Linked DNA regions of Drosophila melanogaster. The protein of the gene in region 1 interacts with the protein of each later gene in a pairwise test. Each region holds a gene or a part of one and is shown in the gene's direction. Other genes may lie near its edges.

Evidence for each region.
Region 2: the proteins of Ing3 (region 1) and dimm interact in a two-hybrid assay, tested with the Drosophila melanogaster proteins (one large-scale study listed by BioGRID).
Region 3: the proteins of Ing3 (region 1) and CG31211 interact in a two-hybrid assay, tested with the Drosophila melanogaster proteins (one large-scale study listed by BioGRID).
Region 4: the proteins of Ing3 (region 1) and CG15728 interact in a two-hybrid assay, tested with the Drosophila melanogaster proteins (one large-scale study listed by BioGRID).

Annotation. Positions count from the first base shown.
Region 1 is NC_004354.4:18,650,179-18,654,791, reverse strand, and holds Ing3 (inhibitor of growth family, member 3), read left to right. Parts: upstream 1-1,700; 5' UTR 1,701-1,828; coding exon 1,829-1,928; intron 1,929-2,004; coding exon 2,005-3,965; 3' UTR 3,966-4,074; downstream 4,075-4,613. Other genes in the region: CG6659 (uncharacterized protein), read left to right, coding at 52-245, 371-496, 602-806; Hou (houki), read left to right, coding at 4,522-4,613.
Region 2 is NT_033779.5:21,330,037-21,334,799, forward strand, and holds the start of dimm (dimmed), read left to right. Parts: upstream 1-1,719; 5' UTR 1,720-1,990; intron 1,991-4,763. UniProt on the Drosophila melanogaster protein: Transcription factor that regulates neurosecretory (NS) cell function and neuroendocrine cell fate. Acts as a master regulator of common NS functions such as Phm expression and neuropeptide production.
Region 3 is NT_033777.3:11,947,764-11,954,538, forward strand, and holds CG31211 (uncharacterized protein), read left to right. Parts: upstream 1-1,916; 5' UTR 1,917-2,041; coding exon 2,042-2,591; intron 2,592-2,663; coding exon 2,664-3,021; intron 3,022-3,094; coding exon 3,095-3,248; intron 3,249-3,486; coding exon 3,487-3,729; intron 3,730-3,959; coding exon 3,960-4,062; intron 4,063-4,418; coding exon 4,419-4,475; intron 4,476-4,877; coding exon 4,878-5,002; intron 5,003-5,063; coding exon 5,064-6,155; 3' UTR 6,156-6,275; downstream 6,276-6,775. Other genes in the region: Hsp70Aa (heat shock protein 70 Aa), read right to left, coding at 6,598-6,775.
Region 4 is NC_004354.4:12,622,486-12,628,973, forward strand, and holds CG15728 (uncharacterized protein), read left to right. Parts: upstream 1-1,806; 5' UTR 1,807-1,946; intron 1,947-4,607; exon of another isoform or gene 4,608-4,659; intron 4,660-4,730; 5' UTR 4,731-4,747; coding exon 4,748-4,879; intron 4,880-4,935; coding exon 4,936-5,127; intron 5,128-5,191; coding exon 5,192-5,764; 3' UTR 5,765-5,960; downstream 5,961-6,488. Other genes in the region: Aven (apoptosis and caspase activation inhibitor), read right to left, coding at 6,070-6,488.

The DNA of each region.
Region 1 (4,613 bases):
CCTCTATTGCTCACGGGAATTGTTGTGATTTCGTCGCCCTCTCAAAAATAGAACATTCGCGAAGAGTACTTCCCCACGCGCTACTCCAAGAGCGGTGACGACCTGGACAGCATGCTCGAGTGGATCAAGCTGAACACAGAGCGAGATGCGGTCTTTGCCGGCCCCGTGGACATCATCGGCACCGTGCACTTGACCACCAAACGGCCCATAGTCAACCATGCGCACCTGGAGATGCGTCAGATAGCGTAAGTTCTCCCAATCTGAGCGAGATAGCCTATCGACTATGCCCCTGCTCTGTCCCGCTCTCATTGGCATCCATATCCTGGCCATGCACGTACTGAAACTTCCGCCTTTGTTTATCTTTTTTAAGGGAGCGCACGGAGCACGTGTACTCGGTGTACAGTCGTCAGCAGTCGTCGGATATCTACAACCAGTGCGCCCAGCTGAAGATCCAGTACTTGATCATATCGCTGGACGAGTGCACCAACGAAGTGCGGTGAGTAGACGCAGACAAAATCCTCGAGACGGGCACTTGAACGCTTAATTGAGATATTGTATTCTTATCGCATTAATATGTACTTTTGCCTGCTTTCTACAACAGCGACGATTGCGATCTGCTGGCCATTTGGGATGACAAGCAGCCGGCCTACCAAAAATACCCACAGTTCTGCCACGAGCTGCTCCACAAGAACGTGCCCAGCTTCCTGAAAGTGTTCGCCAACGACCACTACGGCATTATCAAGATGTTCTCGCAGAGCGTCCAGATCAACCTCAAGCACAACAAGATGCCCGAGATGTCCATATAGGGCTGGCCGTCCACGGAGGCGGCGCGATGATGGAATGCTGGAATCGTGTTGTGTTGTACGTAGCTGTGTGAGCTGTGTGACTAGGATTTAGCATTTTACGATGTGTGTGTATTATGATTACGTTTAGTATTGCCCCAACCTCGGATGCCCGAACACATCTCGCACCCAATCCCAAATCCCGATCCCGCGTAGTAGCTGATTTGATATGGCAGATTGGCGATTAGAAGGAGGCCCCTTCCGCTAGATAGTAAACTGGATGCATTTAGCAGCTTGACTTGTTTCCGCGCCGCTGCGTTCAAACCTTGTTTGGATCATTCCCCGCACCCGCACCTGCGCCTGCGCCCTCGCATTCGAATAAGTTAATCTAGCCGAACGGAGCGACCTTAACTCTAAATACTTTCGTTAAGTTTAAGCTAAGCTTTTTACATTTACGCATGTAGTATACATATGACGATGAGACGCGTGTGGCAACGAAAGTGGCTGCATGTGGACGATGTGCATCCGGGAGCCACGATCCCAGACCCAAAAACAAGCGGGTAAACACGCATTTGCCAGGCAATAAGTGAAATAAAATGATATATTTGAAACAATCCTATGGGCATCTGTTGTTTGTTTATATCTTTAAAATGCTTACTCCTTATTGTTCACAACTTTTGAACAGTAAAAATGTGAGTATATATTTGTTTTGAAATATATTCACATTTTTAGTTTTATACAATACAGCTTATAATATGTAAATAAATAATATCATTAATTATGATTTCCATTTATACAATTTATTTAAATTTCGAATTTCACCTTACAGGGTTTGTGTCGCAGCTATCCACCCTGAGTTTGTATCGCGGTTTCGAGTCGATTGCTTAAATATCGATATTATCGAGCACTACCATCCGCATCTGGGATTAACTTCGTTTCGCCATCCGGTCACACACATACCCGCAACAATACACGAATTTTCATTAATAAACACACAAAGTAGTTAAAATTTTGGGTTTACACCGCGGCCCATTCGCATCGCCATCATGCTTTACCTCGAAGACTATCTGGAGATGATCGAGCACCTGCCGCAGGAGCTGCGCGACCGCTTTACCGAGATGCGCGAACTAGATCTCGCCGTCCAGAGTAAGTGCAACCAGAGAATCCGAATCTCTGCTTTTCGCCGGATCACTAACCAATAACTGCTCCTTGCGGTGCACAGACAACATGGACTCGCTGGACAAGAAGGCCCACATGTTCTTCAAGCAGTGCAAGCGCGACGAACTGCAGCACGAGTCGATGGACACGGAGTTCCACAGCCTGCGCGGCGAGTACTTCAAGGTGATGGAGGACGCCGACGAGAAGGTGGCTATTGCCACTCAGATACACGAGCTGGTGGAGCGCTACTTGCGCCGCCTGGATAGCGAGCTCTTCAAGTTCAAGTGCGAGCTGGAGGCGGACAACAACGGCATCACCGAAATCCTCGAGCGCCGCTCTCTGGAGCTGGACGGCAACTCCACTGCAGCCACCGCCCTGCTGCTGAGCATGAACCAGAAGGAGAACCGCTACTACGGCGCCAGTTCGGCCAATACCATGGTGAACAGCTCGACGGGACACGCAACGGGTGCCGCCACTGGCTCCTCCGGCATTGCACTGGTCAGTGGTGCTGCCGGAACGGGCGGTGCCCTCTCCAGCATCTCCACCGCCCAGTTGGGCTCAAGTCAGCGCCACCGCAAGCTGGAGAAGCGGCGGGAAACCATATGCACGGTGCCTGTTCAGGAGAAGCGCGCCAATCTGAATCACTCACTTCCCGTGGTCGGTTCGGGCTCCACGACTGCCGCGGCAGCCTCATCTTCGTCCGCCACAACGGCCGCAGCAGCCGCCAGCCTGGCCAGCGCGACGACTGCCCAAACTCATGTCTCCAACCACATTGGCAGCATCGCCGCCACTCATCTCACCCTGCCTGTGGCCATGGGCGTGGCCGGCGGCAGTAGCAGTCTTGCCAGCAGCTCGCTTGCCACAGGAACGGGTTCGCTGGTCCGCCAACTGCCCACGAACCTTACCCACACCGTGCTAAGCACCTCGGGTGGAGCGACCGCCGCAGCGGCAGCGGGCGGCAACTCCACGTCCGTGGTCGCTGCTGGTACGGCCCACGGGCACGCCCATGTCAGTGGGCACTCGGCCGCCGGGGCCACAGTCACCTACAACCTGCAACAACTGGGCGGAGGAGCCGCCGCATCTAGTGCCATTGCGGCGGCAGCCAGCCAGGCGATCGTGGCCACACAGCAGATGCAGCAAGGCCGCCGCACGGCCAGCCTCAAGGCGAGTTACGAGGCCATACACGGAACAGCGGGCACCACCACCGACTTCTGGACCCAAGCCGGTCAGGGTGGACTGCAGCAGTCGACCGCTGGATCGGTGACAGTGGCTGCCGGCACAGCGTTGGCCACCGGCGCAGCTGGCGGTAGTAGCACCGGCTCGCATCATTCGCACCACTCACAGTCGCACCATGGCGGCCATGGGCACGGACATGGTCATGGCCATGGGCATGGTCATGGGCACGGACACCACAGCAGCAGTGGTCACGGCGGCGGGCACAGCAGCCACCACCAGGAGAAGAAGCAAAAGAAGAAGCTAACCACAGCGCTGACGTTGCCCACAGTGCAGCCGACGGCCGGCTCCTCGTCGGGCAACTCGATTGGCTCGTCGTCGTCGATTAGTCTGGAATCGGTGAACAAGCTCACCACGTCGGCGGCCCTGGCGGCGGCATCGGCCACGACAACCTACATGTCTGTGGGTGGACAGGCGCTGCTCGCCATGACCCCCGGAGGTGGAGGCGGAGGCAACTTGGCGGAGAGTTCCGCTGAGGGCGTGCCCGCCGGAATGATTGCCATGAACCTGCCCACCACCACGGTAACGCCCGGCTCCAGCCTGACCATCGGCGAGAACGGACTCGTGGTGGAGCAGACGAACGAGGGCGAATGGTCGTACGATCCCAACGAGCCGCGCTACTGCACCTGCAACCAGGTGTCCTACGGCGACATGGTGGCCTGCGACAACGACGCCTGTCCCTACGAGTGGTTCCACTACCCCTGCGTGGGCATCACCCAGCCGCCCAAGGGCAAGTGGTACTGCCCCAAGTGCACCGCCTCCATGCGGCGCCGTGGCAACCGAAAGAACTGAGGCTGACTGCGCCTGCTGGCGCCCCTCTTCCGTGGCGGGGGCGGCGGCGTAGGCACCTGGTCGCGTCGCTAGCGGCTCTTATACTTGTAAAGTGACAAATAAACAAATTCAAAGTATTCAATAAAGTTAGATCAGCAATAGAGCAGCTCTTTATATTCAGTTCGGAACGCAAAGGCGAATAGTGGATTGGGATTGCACTAATATATCTTAACTAAAGTAGTTTAAGCCAGCTTCTAGCTTAAATAACAAATTTAGGGTGTTTTCGCTACAATAATAATAAACAATAAAATATAGTTCATTCGATAGTTTGATTTCAAAATTCGCGCCCTCTTGGCAATCAAACAGCGTGACCATGCTGCGCTTGCTAAAGCACTCTGGTCACGCTGAACAGAAGAAAAGAAAATTTCCAGCGTCATTTGTGCATTGCAAGTTAGTAAACAATAAAAGCGCATAAACAGGGCTAGGAAAAGCGGGAAGACGATTAGGTAAACAGAATTCGACGCAAATCGGTTGGAAAAACGGCCTCAAGATTGGCAAGATACGCAAGAGCAAGAAAATGAGCTACAACGAGAAATCGGAGGCCATCATCAAGGAGGAGTGGCTGCAGCGCCTGGAGCAGTTTCCCTTCAAGCAGGCGGACATGAATCG
Region 2 (4,763 bases), on another chromosome or scaffold:
AATATAAATTTCCTTACAAAAGCATTTGTTTGATAAAGACTTAACTTAAAAAGTCCATCAATGAAATGTACCTCATGTTGTAGCTTTGTATTCTTGTTAAGTTTTTTATGCTAAAAAGGAGTTCAACAAGGCGGTTGCTGATTTGTTGCTGATTTGTTTTATTATTATACCCGTTACTCGTAGAGTAAATAAATTCGTTGAAAAGTATGTAACTGTCAGAAGGAAGCGATTAAGACTATATAAAGTATATGTTCTTGATCAGGATCAATAACCGAGTCGATCTTATCATGTCCGTCTGTCCGACTATCCGTATGAAGATCTGGCCCTGTCCGTCCGTATGAACGGCGAGATTTCAGGAACTATAAAAGCTAGAAGGTTGAGATGCAGCAGACAGATTCTAGAGACAGACACAAGTTTGTTGACCCATTTTTCCACGCCCACTCTAACGCCCTAAAACCGCCTAAACGGCCGCATTTTGTGAAATGTTGAAATGTTTTCAAAATTGTATTATTCTTGTAAATTCCTATCGATTTGACAAAAACATTTTTGCCACGCTCACTCTAACGCCCTAAAGCCGCCGAACCGGTTAAACCCACACTTTGGAAATTTTTTCTCATTTTATTCCCCAAAAATGATTTATTCCCCAATCTGATAGTCGGAGAACTCGACTATAGCATTCTCTTTTGTTTTTGTTAGTATTATTTTATATAAAGGAGAATTCCCTTTACGAAAATTAGTTAATTAAATATAAGGCGTGGTGCCACGCCCACAGTTTTGGAAGTCTCATAGATATGGTCTAGTATAAGTCAATGTAAGAAAAGAAAAACCAAATATCTTACTCCGTTCTGGAGTTATTCATTTTGGTCAGAAAAAGTGGTAAAATTTCCCATAGTCCCTTGTGGGTGCCCCTGCCCTATGGCTCAATACCCCCCTCTGGAGTTGAGCCTGAGCACGTGGTGTCCATGTCTAGGAACTCCGAGCCACAATCCACCCCGTTGGGCAAATATGTGGTGGCGTTGGAACTGCATCTGTGTATGTGTGAGCTAGCCTGGGACAACGTGCCGGGAAGGGTATATTCGTTTTACGTTTTTACGTTCGTTTTTCATGGGACCTAGTACTTATTGATATAATGTCGGAGTGAGTAGAGGAACGTCATGCCCTGCCAACGGAGTTTTGGTTTGATAAATACTTAATATTTCGCATTTGAGTTTCGAGTTGAGTTTATTTAATTTTGGGTTCGAAAACAAACACTTTCTTGGTTTTGCAGTCATTTGGCTATGAAACTTTAAAAATAGTGCAGGAAATACCATTACACTTTAATGTGTCGAACGGAACTCGCATTAGATACATTCGTAAACATTTTCATATAAAAAAAATTTATTCAAACAGTTACTTAGTATTTATATTAAGGAGTTATCGTGGGTACGGACTGCAATGTCAATATGCAGGCATTAATTAAAGGACCCCAGATAACATAATCCTCTAATTTCAGCGGTGCCACCTCAATACTTTGGAAAATACGAAAAAAAACACTCTGACTCAGAAATCCACTCCGTTTTTGAGTATTTTCAGTTGCTCTCCATTCGCCAGTCTGTTTCGACTCAGGCTCTCGTGCGGGCGGAAGCTCCAGCCCCCTCTGCTGGGTGGACTTGTTGCTCGACTCGACTCCCATCGGCCAGGCTTGTGATTCGTCTTTTGTCTGGACTCGGGTCGGCCGATGGCACCGCTTCGTTCATTCAGCCATTCCACAAGTGGCCGTCATCACCAGCGCTTCCGCGTTTCCGGTAATCGTTGTGCGCTCCCGAGATATTTGATTCGAATTGTGCGGAAGTTTTTAAAAAATACTATTGCTTAGAATTCGAAAACGAAAAAGGATAGCCAAGGATCGATATATATTTAGCAAAAATGAAATGCAGCGTGAATTGTGAGAGTTGTTGAAAAGTGACTTAAATATTTAAAAACATCGTGGATTAATTACATCCAAGTACATGTAAGTTGTCAGTACAATTAAGCTGGCTGAAATGCGTTGTTGGGTTGAGTTCAACAATTTTGACAAAGTAAACTTACCTTATAAAATAAAGCCGACTAATTATGAAAAGCTTACACAAGCAAACCATTGAAAAATAAAAGAAAGCATAGAAAACTAATTTTATTTCTTTTCAACAATCGGTAGTCATTCGGGCTTGGGATAAGTTTACTTCATTTACAAAATTCCCCATACACTTGTCAACTGCAGTATACGTTGTTGTAACTTAGCGGGTGGACCGCACAGAAAAGGCAAACAATTGCTCACAAAAGTATGCTTTATTTAATAGAAAGCGTAATAAATATTACACAAGACCAGGTGCAGGTTGCATCGCTAAGATCCTCAAACCCCTATTTAGCGCTAACAAAGAAAGTGAAATTTTCTGTTAAGTCTCCAAAGGAAGAAGTAGACATTTCTATTGTAATGCCTTGATCGAAGTATGGTTTAACCATTCCCATGAGATGACATTTAAAGGTTGTGCGGAAGTTTTCAAAATAAATGAGTCCAAGAATTTTCTAGGATTATACGTTGGATTCAGGCTATTCATCTACTGTTGGCTAATCGAATGTTAAAATTATTCTCTCCCTTTAAAAGCCAATTGAATTATAAATACTGTTTTATTGTTTAATAAAAATAGGCGATATACAAATTAAAGAAACGGTTAAATGGAATTTATAAATCTGTCCTTTGAATAGACCCCCGATGTGTTAAGCCATGTCACTTTTCTCAACATTTCTTAAGAGACCCCAAAGAGTCTGAAGTCCAAGGAGCTGTTGTCGTTAAATAATAGCGACACTTTTGTTTCATTCAACACCGACGACGGAATAAATGCACTGCAAAGTGCGCGGTTTCTAACAACAAAGTCAATGCACATTTCTCGTCCCGCGTATTCCTTGGTCTGTCTCACGCTTTAAACGCTGCTGCAGGTTCCGGGTCAAATGCTGGTAAGCCAAAGGGCATAACCATAACAACGACAATGCGGCAAAAGCGTTTCATCGGTAAATGTTTTTTATACTCCTCAACTCTTGGCAAAAAAAGTATATTGTATACATACAAAAGAGTTTAGCAAGAAGTTGATGTATTCGCAAATTAAAGAGAATATTAAGCGGGTAAACTTTTATTTCATAAAAATAAACCGCCATAATTTTTAATTCATTTTTGGGACATGTTTCATTTATCTTTGCATTGCGATATAATTAAAATAGATGGTATGAAACCTTAATTTTTTAATCGTAATGACTTAAACATTCTGGCCACGCCCACTCTTACGCAAGCATGATTTTTTTCTAGACAGTACGGTGATATATAGTATGTTACATGAACCGTGTAGTTACAGTGCCCTATAATGGTGAACCGGTTCGCGAGCCAAAACTCTTTTAAATAATCATTACTTTTGCTAAATGAAAATCTTTCACAAATTCACATACTTATACACATTAAAGTGAAGCTAACAACGTGACAACAATTGATGTCCGGCAAGCATCGCATCTTGGGGTCTCTCTTTTTCCAGAACCCTAATACTTATCCGTGGTTCAGCAGCAAGCACCTCGATGATAGTGTCTTCTCTGGAAGCGAAAAAAGGCGTCGCCGGATGTAGTAAAATAGTCGTCCTCGCAGTTGTCCTGTGCACAGCCTTGATCCGAATTCTCATAAGTCCCTGAGATCAGCAAGGAGACCATTTTGGCAACGAAAATCACACGCCTGCTGTTGACTTCTGCGTTGGCCGATTAAACCCAACCAAACCCAAAACTTTTAGAAGTCCGAAGTTCTCATCGACTCAGGCTCTTTATATACAAAATCCATAGCCATATACAGAATCACAAGAGTTTGTGAACACCACTGTACCATTACAAAAGACAAGCAATCGACGATGTACAGCACTGCGCTAAATGAAACCAAAAGATGGCCTTAACTATAATGGCTCGCAATATCTATCTGGTGATGTTTTAAACGAATAAAGTCGAATTCTTGTTCAAAGAGGGCATTTTTCGTGGTCAGTGGCAGTGCAAACCGCTGCATATGACCGACCGCGATTTTTTAGAGCACCTTCGATCTGGTGAAAAAATATTATCAGTTACTAAAACCGCAGTTTACACTTCTTTTTAGTTTTTTTGTTTTAAGGGTGTGCAAACGATAAGAAAATAATAATAATGGTTTTGCAAACGTTTTTAATTGATAATATTTAGTTGTAAGCGATGGTCAAACGCTTTATGTCATATATTTTCTAAATTATACATTTTTTCAAATTCTAAAAGGTGGTCAAACGTGAACAAACAATGGTATTGCGATTTAAAAAAAAAACCTCAACTTCTTGATTTTATATCTTTTTCGAAAATTCTGATTTCAAAAATTGGACGTGGCAAACGATACCAGATTTCAAATTAAAAGAAATTCGATTTTTCCGAACCTAGCAGTCCTTGAGCTATAAAAGCTAAAAGGTTGAGGTTAAGCATACAGATTCTAGAGACATAGAAGCAGCGCAAGTTTGTTGACCCATTTTGCCACACCTACAAACTTACCAAACCTGTCACGCCCGTGCTTTTGAAAAATGTTTTGATCTTTTTTCATATTTTCGCTGGTGTTGTAAATTTGATAAACAAAACTTTTTGCTATGCCCACTCTAACCCCCATAAACCGCCTATTTCATTCTAATTGTATTCTGATATCTGGGTTCCTGATAGTCGGGGAACTCCACTATAGCATAGTCTTTTGTTATTGCTGTGCACGGGGAATTAAA
Region 3 (6,775 bases), on another chromosome or scaffold:
AGAAGGAGAAAAAAACACAAACACTAAACATTTCAGCAATTCAATCATTCACATATGTATGTATTTATATTTCTTTTTTGTTGCTATTTAGCAATTATGCACGAGTTATCTCACGGTCAACTGGTTTTTTTCGAACGATTTTTTATTGTATTTTATACGAGTCGAATTTCGCATTGATGGAAATGCAAATAAACGCGCAGTGAGAAGAGAACATTTTCCGGGCCCCACAGCAAAAGGAAAAAGAAAATTCAAAACGGCACGCGACGCACGAACTTAATTATTTACTACGTGTGTGTGCGTGTTGTTGCACAACTACAATAAAAACTCAAAAAAAAAAAAATTAAATAAAAGCAAACAACAACGATCCAATGTCAGAGAACCACCCACACGAATTGAAAAGTCAAACGGACAAATTGAATTTCGGCCTGCAATTTACGCTTTTAATTAAATCATTAAAAGGGGGCACAAAGATTACGATTACGCCATTACAGAGCACACAGAAAATCAAGATCTGCGTATGATACCAAATTTCTGAGATTAAGTTGATATTTCATTTTTTTTTATTTTATTTTGATGGTTGAAAGATTGATATAGATAAAGACGTAAATTGAACTTTTGTTTCCTTAACATGACAAAGAAACTTGCAACCACTAAATATTTGTATATATTTTCAGTTAAATCGAATCACATGCTAAGTATATTAATAAAACGTTTGTCTTTGTAAAATCAACGAACTGTTGATCATCTATCCGTCCTGTTTTGCTCCCAGTGTAGCGGCAACAGTTGCACTGTTTGGTGTTTGGTGGCTCAAAAATGTAATTACGCACTCCAGTGCAAAAGCAATCGACAGCAAATTACATATTTGTAATGGTTTGCAATTGAACTGCTTTTAAAATTGAATAGCAATTAAATTGTTGCTTGGCAAACACGAACACACACAGCCCGAAAAAAAACCAGACAAACCACTACAGACAGACTCAGACACACACCGATAGAAACGCTGCTGCGCCGACGCAACTGCGCTGCAGAACTTCTCTTCCTCTTCTCCTTCTTCATCTTTTAATTTCTTTTACCTTTAACTATTATCTATTTTAGCATAATTTCATTCACACACCAGCTTTTGTTTGTATTGAAATTAGTCGCGGCGGCTGTAATTAAACAATGCGGTATTTCGAAACTCGCGCTGAGAACGACCGACAATAACACCAACACAGACAGGAGCGCGCCCTTCTCGCACGCACACAAATTTATTATAACACGTAAACAACAACGCCGCAACGCCGACGCAACTTATTTTTCCGGCAGCGACGCGTCCGCATACGTCCGCTCACGTTAAGTTCCGCAGAGAGAAGTTGTTGAAAACATAAACAGAATCACTTGTTGCACTCTTTGAGAAAAGTGGGGCTATTGCTGAAAAAACCAACTAAAAATATTGCAGGTTAGGGATACTCGCTCGATTGGCGTACGGCCACACTTTTGCGACTTCACTGTTAACCTCTACTTCATAGAGACTTTTACCCGATAAATGTTATGAGTTTGACTTTCTCTGTTAATCACAAGAAAAAATATTGTGGAAATTAAAATTATCTCAAATCAATAAAAAATAATAATATATACACCTATGTTTTATAGAAGTCAACAGTAAATAAGTTATTTGGAAAACCATTGTAGCCGTTTAAATAAATCTCCTTGAGTGTGTTTTAAATAACGGTCATTAAGTATATTACTTGGCCCTCTGAATTTCTTGAATTACACCATTTTTAGAAATAAATCAATCCAAAAGACTACTTTTTGGTGGCAAATGAACTGCATAAAAAGTAACAAAAGAAATATGTTTTTGAAATAACAGTATAGCTGAAGTGTATTAAAAAATACCGTCATATGAGCGACCCGCTGTTACCGCTTCGCTGCGAATGACAAAACGGGCTGAGCAAGAAAATGGCGTAGAAGGCGACGAAAATTCGTTTCACTCGTGAAGAAAACCTCGATAACTGAGGAATACAGCTGGGATTTAAAGAGCATATTCGAACTACAAGCAGAGATGTTTCCTGGTGGAAACGGAAACGCCGATTTGGGCTACAACAAGCATGCCCACGTCCATGGACTTGGACAACATGGCCATGGGCACAACCATAATCACAATCAGTTCCTGGCGCAGCCCCCACCACCCCCCACACATTTTTCACTGCCCTCCGGGGGCGGTCAGGGCATGGTGACGCCCATGGTAGCCGCCGGCCTGCCGCTCGCCATGCAGGGTGGCGTTGGCATCGATTGGGCGCAGCTCGCCCAGCAATGGATCCACATGCGGGACGCTACTCCGGTGCCCATGCCCCTGGCCCCTCCGCCGCCCATCATCAGCAATTTGCGAGAATACCACCAGCAGACGCTAGCAATGCCGGTGCCCAGTGTGGTCAGGGCGGGATTTCCGCAACTAGAGGAGCACGGCGAGGCGGATATGGACATGGACGATGAGAATGATCGGGGACATAGCACTGAGACACCCCCACCGCCAGCACCTTTGGTTACGCAATCCCAATGGCTGGCGGGCACCGAAGTGGCTGGTCAGATCCCAGACGCCTCCAACGGAGCGGGTTTGTAGAAGATCCAAGAAGATAGCACAATAAATCAGGTCAGCAACTAACCCTCCTCTCCGTTCCTTGCAGCTGTCACGCTGGGCAAGCAGCCATGGACCGGGTGGCAAATGCAGACCGACAAATCAGGCAATTCCACGGCGCATATACCATCTCTGCTGAAGCTGAACGTGAGCAATCCCAATGAGCCGCACCAACAGCTGCAGTTGCAGTTGCAAGCGCATCAGCAGCAGCAGCAGCAGCATGCTCCCCAACCAACGCATCCACACCATCCACCAGCACATCAGCCGCATGCACATCCACACCACCTAACACCACATACACACCTGCCGCCACAGCACACACAGCAGACGCATGCGGAAAGCGGAAGTAGCGGGGCTAGCAGTGAGATCGATGCAAACAAACGGAAAATGTTGCCAGCTTGGATAAGGTATGAGTGTGCAAAGAACCACAATAAGATGCACAAAAGATAGATACTTGTAATAATTTCCTTAATCTTTCAGAGAGGGCCTGGAGAAAATGGAGCGGGAAAAGCAGCGGCAACTAGAGCGCCAGCAATCCTCCATGACCACGCCAGATGTTGAGGTCAACCATGTTAAGCAAGTATCAAGCAAAACACTAACCACACCTGGTAATCTTTTGAACATCGCGAACGTGGTAAGTAAGGTCGATGGGCGGCAGGGTTAACTGACTCTCAATACGGACAGAAAAGTGCCGAAAGCGTAGCACACACCATCTCACACAAATTGGTTGCACAAAATTTAGACGGGACTGAACCAAACTGAAAACGATGTTTCGTCGTTGAAAGCACACAAAACTTAAAAACAATCCGGACAGTAGAGCAGACTGCAGGCTTGAGTGCAGGCTGTCGATTAAACATTCCCTTGAAATTCAGGCTAGCGACAGCGAAGATTCCATTGACGTGCCTGTGGAGGCGCGTGGAGAACTAAAGGTGCAGCAAATAGGTAATGAATTGATTAGTAAGGACGACGATCGAAGCAGCAGCAGCAGCGAAGAGCCAGAGTCGGAGCTGCATGGAGCCATCGAAACCGGCAATCGGACAGTGGCGGAGCACGTGAGAATGGCTACCGTAAACGATGTCAATGGTAAAAACTACGAAGAAAGACTGGCGGATCTGGTAGGCATCACCATTTGACCCGGATGTTTGCTCAGCCAGGCGATGAAATCGAGTGAGTCTCAGAGGCGAAGGAACTGCGGAATTCTGACAACACTTTACTGGCTGCTCTGCAGTTCGTTCACTCTTCACTAGAGTTTCATTCCCTGGCCATCGGCGGCACATCCAAAAAAAAAACCCATTTGTATAGTTGCAAACAATGAATATGAACACCCAATACCACCCATCTGTAGATGCTTGTGGTGCGTCGGACACTAACCGAAATCCTGCTGGAAACCACGAACGAAGAGATTGCAGCCATTGCAGGCGAGACTCTAAAAGCACACCGTGCGAAAGGTACATTATGCATTATACTTAAGTTTATCCCAAACCGATTTCTTCCAGCGCTCGCGCTCGTGTGTGTGTGTGTAAGTAGTTATAGATCGTAAGACGGCGCGGATATATCGCGGATCGATTGTAGCTTGGATGACCGGATGTTTCGGCCAAGCGATTGGAGTCGTGTTTTTTCCGGCTTCACAGCGCGTTACCAACTCTTTTAATCCTATGTCTATGCTAATAATCTTTAAATCCCTAATAATGAATTGATATATCGAACACCACACAAACCAATGAAATCACTTGCTGAATTTTTTAATTTTAATATATAATATATATAATTATATATATATATGTATGTATGTGTAAATCAAAAGCGTCATCAGCCCAAGTGATTCGCAAAAGCGCCTTGTCCTCCATTACCGGCAACTTGGGTAAGTAACCAAATTCCAGTTTAGTTCATACATATTCTTTGCACTATTTTTGTTCAGAGGTAGTCTGAGTTATGCTTGGTCATCCTGTCTTTCTATACCCCAAATCCTAATCACAAAACGAAAAGATATTACAAAGAATTGGATTACTCCTATGGCCGAGATTTAACATTCTATGCTTCCTGTAAATTTAAGCCATGGCCAAATGATTTCGACCCCCTCGGCGCAGTTTGGTCTTTCTAGCCCGCTTCTTCGTCCTTTCGCTTCCCCATTTCCCCTTCCTTTCACCTTTCCGTAAATTCTTGCGAAGATATTGAAAATCAGTTCAAAATATACCAAAATCTGCGCCCGATCTACATTGAAGCCTGGTAGCAACAATTAGCACTTGACTGATTTGAATTATAGGTTTAGCTGCCTATGGCGATTCTTCCAGCGAAACCGAGGATGATGAGGATGATGAAGATGAGCGTCAAGCGGGCGCTGGAAAGGATGCCGAAAAAAGCGCGCAGCTAAGCGCGGAGGAGTTGAAAGTAAGTTAGCCACACGTTCATTATCAAAAGATATCAATTCTCAATATTATTTGGCTTTTAGGCTCGCATAAGGCGCAGCAAACGATCCTTCGAGAAAGTCATTGACGACATTGAGGATCGAGTGGCCAAGCAAGAGCTGCTTGATGAGCAAACACTGCTGCGACATCGCAAGCGGGAGCTAGAACGCTCCGTAACTGGTGGTGGTGAGCATCGTCGACCGGCGGCCAATCCAGAACCGCCCAGTGAGTCGGCTAGTCAAGCAACCCAGGAAAAGCATCAGCAGTCAAATGGTATAGGTGATGCACATAAATCCAAAGAACTCCTAAGCATACATTGCCATCATTTAGGCAAAAGACTCAGTCGCAAGGAACGGACCACCCGCTTTAGCGACAACAAGGACGGCAAACAGCAGTCGCAGAGCTTCGTGCAACAAGTAGTGGCGACCGCTGTGGTGCCACCACCCGGAAGCCTAAGCAATAGCAGCCCACAAAAGCTGAAGCCCGTTCCCAATCCGGCCACTAATCTACTGCAGATGCCGGAGTCGGTGGCCACCATGCTGACTGCGGCTGACAAGGCGCTGCACAAGGCCAACAAGTCGTCGCATAAAAAAAGCAAGCGCCGCCACTCGTCCCCCTCGTCATCGTCTAGCAGCAGTGGGAGCAGCTCTAGCAGCGATAGCGACGACAGTAGCAGCACCTCGAGCGGATCCAAAACTTCAGGCAGCCGCAGCAAGCGATCCAGTCGGCATGGACACCGCAGCCACCACAGCAGCAGTCGGAGCAAATACGAACGTCGCGATCGCGACAGAGAAAGGGAGCGGGCGCGGGAGCGAGAGCGGGACCGTGATAGGAGTCATCGCCAGCATCGTAGTAGCCAGCTTAGTGGAAGTCACCACCAGAAACAGCGCCGACATCGCGAGTCCAGCCATTCAGGCGAAGATGCTGGCGGTAGCAGCAGTTACCACCGCTCCTCGCGGCAGAGCAGCAGCCGTAGCCATGATCATGGCAGCAACCGTAGCCATGATCACGGCAGCAGCAGCAGCGGACGGAAGCGGCACCGCACGAGATCCCGCTCCAAGTCGCGAAGCACTCACCACTCCAGCTCGAAAGCATACTCCTCCACTTCCGCGTCGCATCCGCGCAAGCGCCATTAAGAAAAATCTTGCGCGTAAAAATCCGAAGTTAATTGTTAATATTACATAATTATTATTTCTTCTGTTTAAGATGCTTTTTAGTAAACAGTTTTAAATCAGCCTAATAAATTAAAAACTCAGAAAAATTTGTTTTTTTTTCATGTGTTATGCGAATATCCTCATAATAATTAGATATATTTTTAAAGTTGGACATACGGGAATACGGGAATTAAGTTCCCAATAATACAAACAAGTAAACTTTTTTAAATTCAATAAATAATTTATTTTTTCTATAAGCAATAACATTTTTGCTAAATTAAGACTTGGTAATTAGGTAATACTATTGTTGTTCTATGGAATATTCGATCGAAACATTCTTATCAGTCTCAAAAACTTAAAACAAACTTATAATATAACCCATATGTTATAACCCATTGATGAACAAAAATTAGACTCTTTGGCCTTAGTCGACCTCCTCGACCGTGGGTCCAGAGTAGCCTCCAAATCCTCCCGCCTGCTGGCCGCAGTTTGCTCCCGGACCACCAGCTCCAGCTCCCGCACCCTGCTGATGCATCTTGGTCATGATGGGGGAGCAGTGGCGGGTGAGCTCCTCCAGCTTGTGGTCGAACTCCTCCTTCTCG
Region 4 (6,488 bases), 6.0 Mb from region 1:
ATGGCATGATGATATAGGGGCAGACGACGTGGAACGGGTAGTAGTTTTCAAGTGGTGCAGAGCGGCACAGAACGCTAATTAAAAAGATACTTGATGGGAGCCACCGGAAACAAAACGGAAAAGCCAAAGAAGCGAGGCGGGCAATGCGAAAAAATGCGGGAAAAATGGCTGAAATGCGAATGAAAGGCAAAGGCGAATGGGATGGCAAGCAAGTTAACGTTGCCATGAAATCGTCTATGAAATGTGAATGTAATCTAATGAATAAAATGCATCTGCTAACCCCCATCATGCCAGCCACTTGCAGATACAGATAGATGATGGATGATTCTTTCACCGGTTTCCTTCGCGTTTTTTTTTTTTTTTTTTGATACCGCAAATTCTCACATTCATGCGGTTCATTTGCGCAGCCATTGAGATTTGAATGGCATTTTTAATTGGTACATTTTACGCAGCCATCCTTTGAGCACAAAGGCACCTCCTGCTCCACCAGCCCTTCTCCTTTGAGCTGGCCATCATTCAATTTGATTTGTATTTATTTAATGAGTTATTAATTGCATTAAGCTCTCGGCGTTGGAGAACTTTGCAACTAAAAAAAAAAAGGAATAAAGCCGGGAGAGTGGGGAAAAGTTTTTCGGCTTTTGCTCGCATTCAGGCTGAAAACTACGAAACTAAAGAGTTCGTACAATTTGCAGCTTTGAAAAAAAAACAACAGAAAATGCTAGTGCCAAAAGTGTAGCATACTTTTCTGCGCACTTTTGCCTGTGATTATGAATTTGGGTTTGGCCGACTAAAGAGGCGCGAGAACTTCAAGACTAGCCAAAACTATTAGCAAATCTAAATCTAAATTATATTTCCAAATTCCAAATTCCATCTTTCCATCTTACATTTGTTGCCTCTGTTACTTCATACATTTAAAATGGTAAGCAGCCCACGTAACATAAAATTATATTATATATATATATATAAATAAGTAAATAAATAGCAAGGTGTCAGAAATACAACATAAATATTCTTGAGATCTAAACAAATTGGACTTGTTAAAGTAATGATTGTTTTGGGCCGCATAAGTATTGTAAAATAATAAAGTTACCACAGAAGGCACTTGACTTTGGCCATGAATGTACTCACTTTACTCACAGGGGAGGAACTGTCAGTTACTCCCTGCCATTATATACCAATTTCAATTTAAATTCCAGCCTGCTGTGGCCCATCCGCGGGGCAGAAACAAAAATATATATATATGCATGTATATAAAAATAAAGGAAAAAAAATAGAAGTGAAGTTCGGAGAAACCGCAACAGCAATTCTCGACATAATGATTGTGTTGAGGGGCGATTATGTCATCATGGATGGGCAGGGCAAAAGGACTCGACACACTTGACTTCCGGTTGGAGGATGGCTGCGAGATGTTTGCCATATTGTGTGAAAATTTGTGTTTTCCCCCGTCCACTGCAATTGGCGGTGGTGGTTTCTCGTCTCGTTTTTGTGATTAAAAATGTTTGTCATTATCCGCTTGGAAAATCGTCCGAAATTGTGTTTGTGCCGCGGGCCGTGCCACACTTGCTTATTTCAAATCTGGCATCTTTATGCCTAATTGCCGCATTGTGTCCCATTGTGCGGCCATCGAACCTGTGGATTGAATCGAATCGGATCGAATCGAATCGAATCGTCTCACAGTCTCAGCCTCGAACCCCGACTGAGCCATACAGGTTGCCTCTGGCTAAGAGTCCATGGCTAAGGGAAAGCCACTGACTATGGCTTTCCATCGATCAGTTGCAATTTGTTGCAAAAGCGAATAGTGGTCAGCGGAATAAAAAAGATACCCATTGAAATATTAGTGAGCTCCTTGATAATTTGCTAATAATTGACGAGGAAGTGAGAAGTAATTTCATTGTACAAGTGAAGTATTCTTCCGCCAAGCTAAACATTTCATACAAAACGTACAGGTATGTCCAGTTTTAATTACATTCATTACGATTCCTGCCCCTTTTGTATATAAACTTTGAGATCCCCATCCATGGGGATGAACTTTATGAGACTCCTGAGCTCCTCGAACTGCATCTAGATATTTTAGAATTTTTGTATCTTTTCGTTTGATTGCTAATGATATAGTGAATCTCAAAGCATTCTCGCTTGTGCCCACCAGGAGCATATTGATCTCAAGGATTCGCTTGAACTTCTGGCACTGATCAAAAAGATCCCAAAGCTTTCTTTTTTGAGTTTTTCTTTGGTGCAATTTCCAGGTCATCACTCTCTTTCACGCTCCTAAGCTCCTAGAACTATCTATATCTATATATTTGGAAATTTATGTATATCTTTTTTTTATTGCTAATGATATAGTTATTAGAGCATATTGATCTTAAGGTCAAAAATAGTCCTAAGCTGTTTAAATAAAGGTTAAAGTTGGCCACAGCACTTACATATACATACATACAGGAAACTCTGTAAAACATGAAATTCTTTATTACTTGGGCACTTTTTCTTCATTACCCCCATCTTGCAAATTCTTTAAAACTGTTTCTAGTTACACAACGCATATAATTAATAGAAAATCAATATGTTTACCTTACCGAAAGAAATTCGCTTAGTATCATCAGGGCCGACAGAAATATTAGACTTATTTTCTTTGCAAGGGTCTATTCGATTTCTTATGTCGCGTCTTGCAAAAGTGGCTAATTCTCAGATGACATTTCGTGATAATTGGTGGGTGGAACGGTTTGGATTCCACTTGCACTGTGGCTATCATTTGTATACATACATCATACTTTCCAATTGTGTAAACAACAACTTCATTAGTAAACAAAAAGTTCGCTGGGTGGTTACAGAACGCAAATCCTAAGCCCGAAAACCGATTCCCTTTCAAATGCCACAAATCAGTAAATAATGACATGAAAATCTGTTGGCTTTTGTCAGGCCCCGCGGCCTCGAAGACCGAAAAATGAAAAAGTTAGTTGGATGGGGGAGGGTTTTCGGTTGCAAAAGTGTTGAGACAAGTGGGGTGGACAATTTGCCTTAAATTAGGCGTAAAATGCACAGATTGGTTACAACAAACAGCGCACACAAGCGGCTCATCAGTTCGGTCCACCCTCAAAAATTAAAGGGTAGCTACTTGCCACTTGTCATCACCATCTTGATTATTATTATCATCGCCATCCGACGGGAACCGGATATGATTGTTAGTATCTATTAGCACAGTTGAACCTCCAAATGATGGTTCCATAAATAATAATACCAGTCTTGTCATTTTTTTTTTTAAGTAAGATAAATAACTACAGTAAAATTTTTCTTATGATGAGCAAAAATACTCAAATGGAAAATGTAAACATCTTTTCAATCTTGTAGTAAAATAAAAATGTAAGCATCTTTTCCACTTACGGATGTTTGACTGTAATTGGCCTGGTCTGCGTTTCCCGTTCAACTTGCTGAACAACCCTCGCTAATTGAGCACTTTTGTTGCGTTTAATAGAGGGGGATTCTTGGGTTTTTACACTTGACGTAGATTTTTAGCTGGACGCTGATATAATAGATCATATTATGCTATAGATGTTCCCAGTTGATTAGCATACAATCGCTTCGCAAGCAGTGGCAGCTAAATTGAGGTTATGTTTGCAAGCAGTTCAGAAAGAGAGGGTTATATGTTGCCTACCCCTTTGCCATTTAAATTTGATCAACAAATACATGTGCATAATTAAAAACAAAAAGGAGAGCATAACACACACACACACACACACAGAGAGATTGCAAAAAAGTTGTTAATCTTTTCATGCCGACGCATAATTAAAATGTGAATATGGAAATTTCAATAGGAATCTGTGCAAAAAATGCCCCAAAAAAATAAAGGGGGCGATAAAAAAGCAGAAGAGCAGAAAGAAAAGACCAAGCAAAGGACGCACAAACACACACACACACACAGAAACTTAACGGTTTCCTGCTGTTATGGCCATCTTGCTTGCACCTCTTGCGCTTTTTACCGCCAGTTCGTTTGCGTGCGTGTGTGTGTGTGTGAAAGCAAGTAATTGCGAAATATGAAATATGAATGCATAATGAGCAGATATTCGCCAAGTGTGCAAGAAACTTGAAGCGGCGATGGGCGTGGCAGGTGGAAAAGTGGGAGTCGGAAACGGAGGCCAGGTGACTTTTATGCTAAAATGCGCACATCGCGCGTGCATTTGCATTTTGCCAGCCTTTTCGAAAGCAGTGCAAGGACAAGCACAAATACACACAAACAAAGGCGGGCACACACACAGGCAGGAAAAATCATAACTACAGTAAGCGTCCGATAGCAGCGACTCCTCTAAGTCCTTCAATTTTATGCGATTCAACTAGAAGTTCAACACAAAAGTGTATTTTGTCTAAAAATGAACATAACTATATAATTATAATATTTTAATATATTATTACAAAAAATTAATTTTAAATCATGGAAGATGTACATAGGTTCAAGGTTCATGAATTCAAATCAAAAGCTTCATAGTTAATTCCTAGACTTTTCAATTAAAAGTACCCACTTGCTGATTTCACTGTACTCGGCTTGGCCAAGATGGCAGCCAAGTGTGTTTGAAAAACATGTCAAAATGTTGTGGAGCTCATTAAAATAGCGTTGGCTATTTGCACACATCATATCTTTCAGTCACTAATTTGTAGAAGGAGGAGGAGAAGGTGAAGCAGCAGCAAATCCTTGAAGGCGCCTTTTCCCTGTTCAAAAGTAATGCATAACTCCCTTTTTCCAGCTTTTTCCTCAGATAAAATGGCAGAATACAACATGAGCCACATGGTGCGACCCCAGGGATTCAGTTTGGAAGAGCTGCGTCAGACTATGAGTCGATCGGCGATTCGGGAACAATGCTACTTTATTTATGCCACCGGCAATATTCTGGAGGTGATCCATATTCATATCATAATCACATTATCTAATTTATTCACATGTTCCGTTAGATTATATCTGGTTTTGATGAACTGCTCAACCAGGAGGGGATCCAATTCGGAGCAGATAAACTGGCTGCGGTGTATGTATGCGGTTTGATGGTTTATCTACTCCATCATGAGGACACGTCGGCCACCCAGGTGAAAAGAACTCTTTTCCTGCAAAAGTGCTTCAATTATATGGCATGCTCCGAGGAAAGCCATGTGAGTAAGCATATATATGTTTGAAATATATATTTTTTGATCCTTCCCTTTCTTTGCCCAACAGATCCACCAGGTATGCGTCCATGTCCTGGGTCTCTTGGATATCCAGAGTTCGAGCACAATGCTCAACCTGATCCTCGGCTGCCGCGTGGCCAGTCCGCTGTGCACAATGGCCAGCGTTGTGGCTAACTGTCTGCTCTGGGCCATGTTGGATCATATGTCGGACTTGGGCCTGGACTTGCACCGATTGCGTCCGGCTAACACACTGCTGCTCGTCGTTGCCGTGGTGAAGCCGCATATTTATGTAATATCCTATTTGCATTCCCTGCACCTGGTGGTCCGTTTGATATCCAGCATCCTGCTGATCGGACCATTCAATGCCCAGGGCCAGCAACTGTGCCAGGAGACCGATGTGCCGGAGGATTATATGAAACTGGCCAGGGACGATTGTTCGATATTAGTTCGCTGGCTAATCGCGATCGTTGATGAGCTGCGTCCGCTGATGGTGGAGAACAACGATTTGGGGCATCTGCATGAGCGCCTGGTGCTTTTGGAGTCCATATGTGAGCTTATGCAGCTCTTGCATGGCCATTTGGTTAAGTGTTACCAAGGCAAAAGTGGACCACAATGTAAGTAATAGCGAACGGAAACAAAGAAATCTGTTATAAATTCAGATACTTTGATGAGAAGAGAATTGAAATCTTCAATAACTTAACCTAACCTTTGAAACTTATTTCAAGAAACAATCGCATCGTATATATATGCAATCAACGATTTTATTATACACAATAAAAAGGCTCTAGCTTTAACTATAAAGTTACGAGGAAAACTCTAGATTTTGCAATTTTAATGATGCTACTTCTAAAAATGCAAGCACTTAGTGATTTGAATATTTCGTGTAAGCGTAAAAAGCTCTGGTAATAGTCCTCCTGAACTATGTAACTATTCATCCAAAACGGAATCCAGCCATTCCTCCACACCGTTTTTGCTTGCTGCCGATGAGGGTGTGGCCGGCTGCACCATAGGCATTGGCATCGTAATGGTTCCAGAGCCTATATCCAGTTGCGTATCGGTCATGGCCAATAGCTCGTCAAGTTCATCAGGTTCAGCTGCTGAGGCAGCAATTGGTTTTTCCGCCGCTGCAGGGGCAACGTCCTTATTGGACTTAGCAGAGGGAGCTCGCGACTTGGCGCCCCCATTGGCGTCCTTCAGAATGCACTGCTGGTAAACTGCCTCAGCCCGTTCGGCGGCCTTCTCTTGGGCGGCAATCTGAGCGCGGGTGAACAAAGACGCCGGATAATCCATACGCTTGTATAACGGAATCGTTTGCAGACCCACATTTAGGCGGGTGAGGTTCAGGG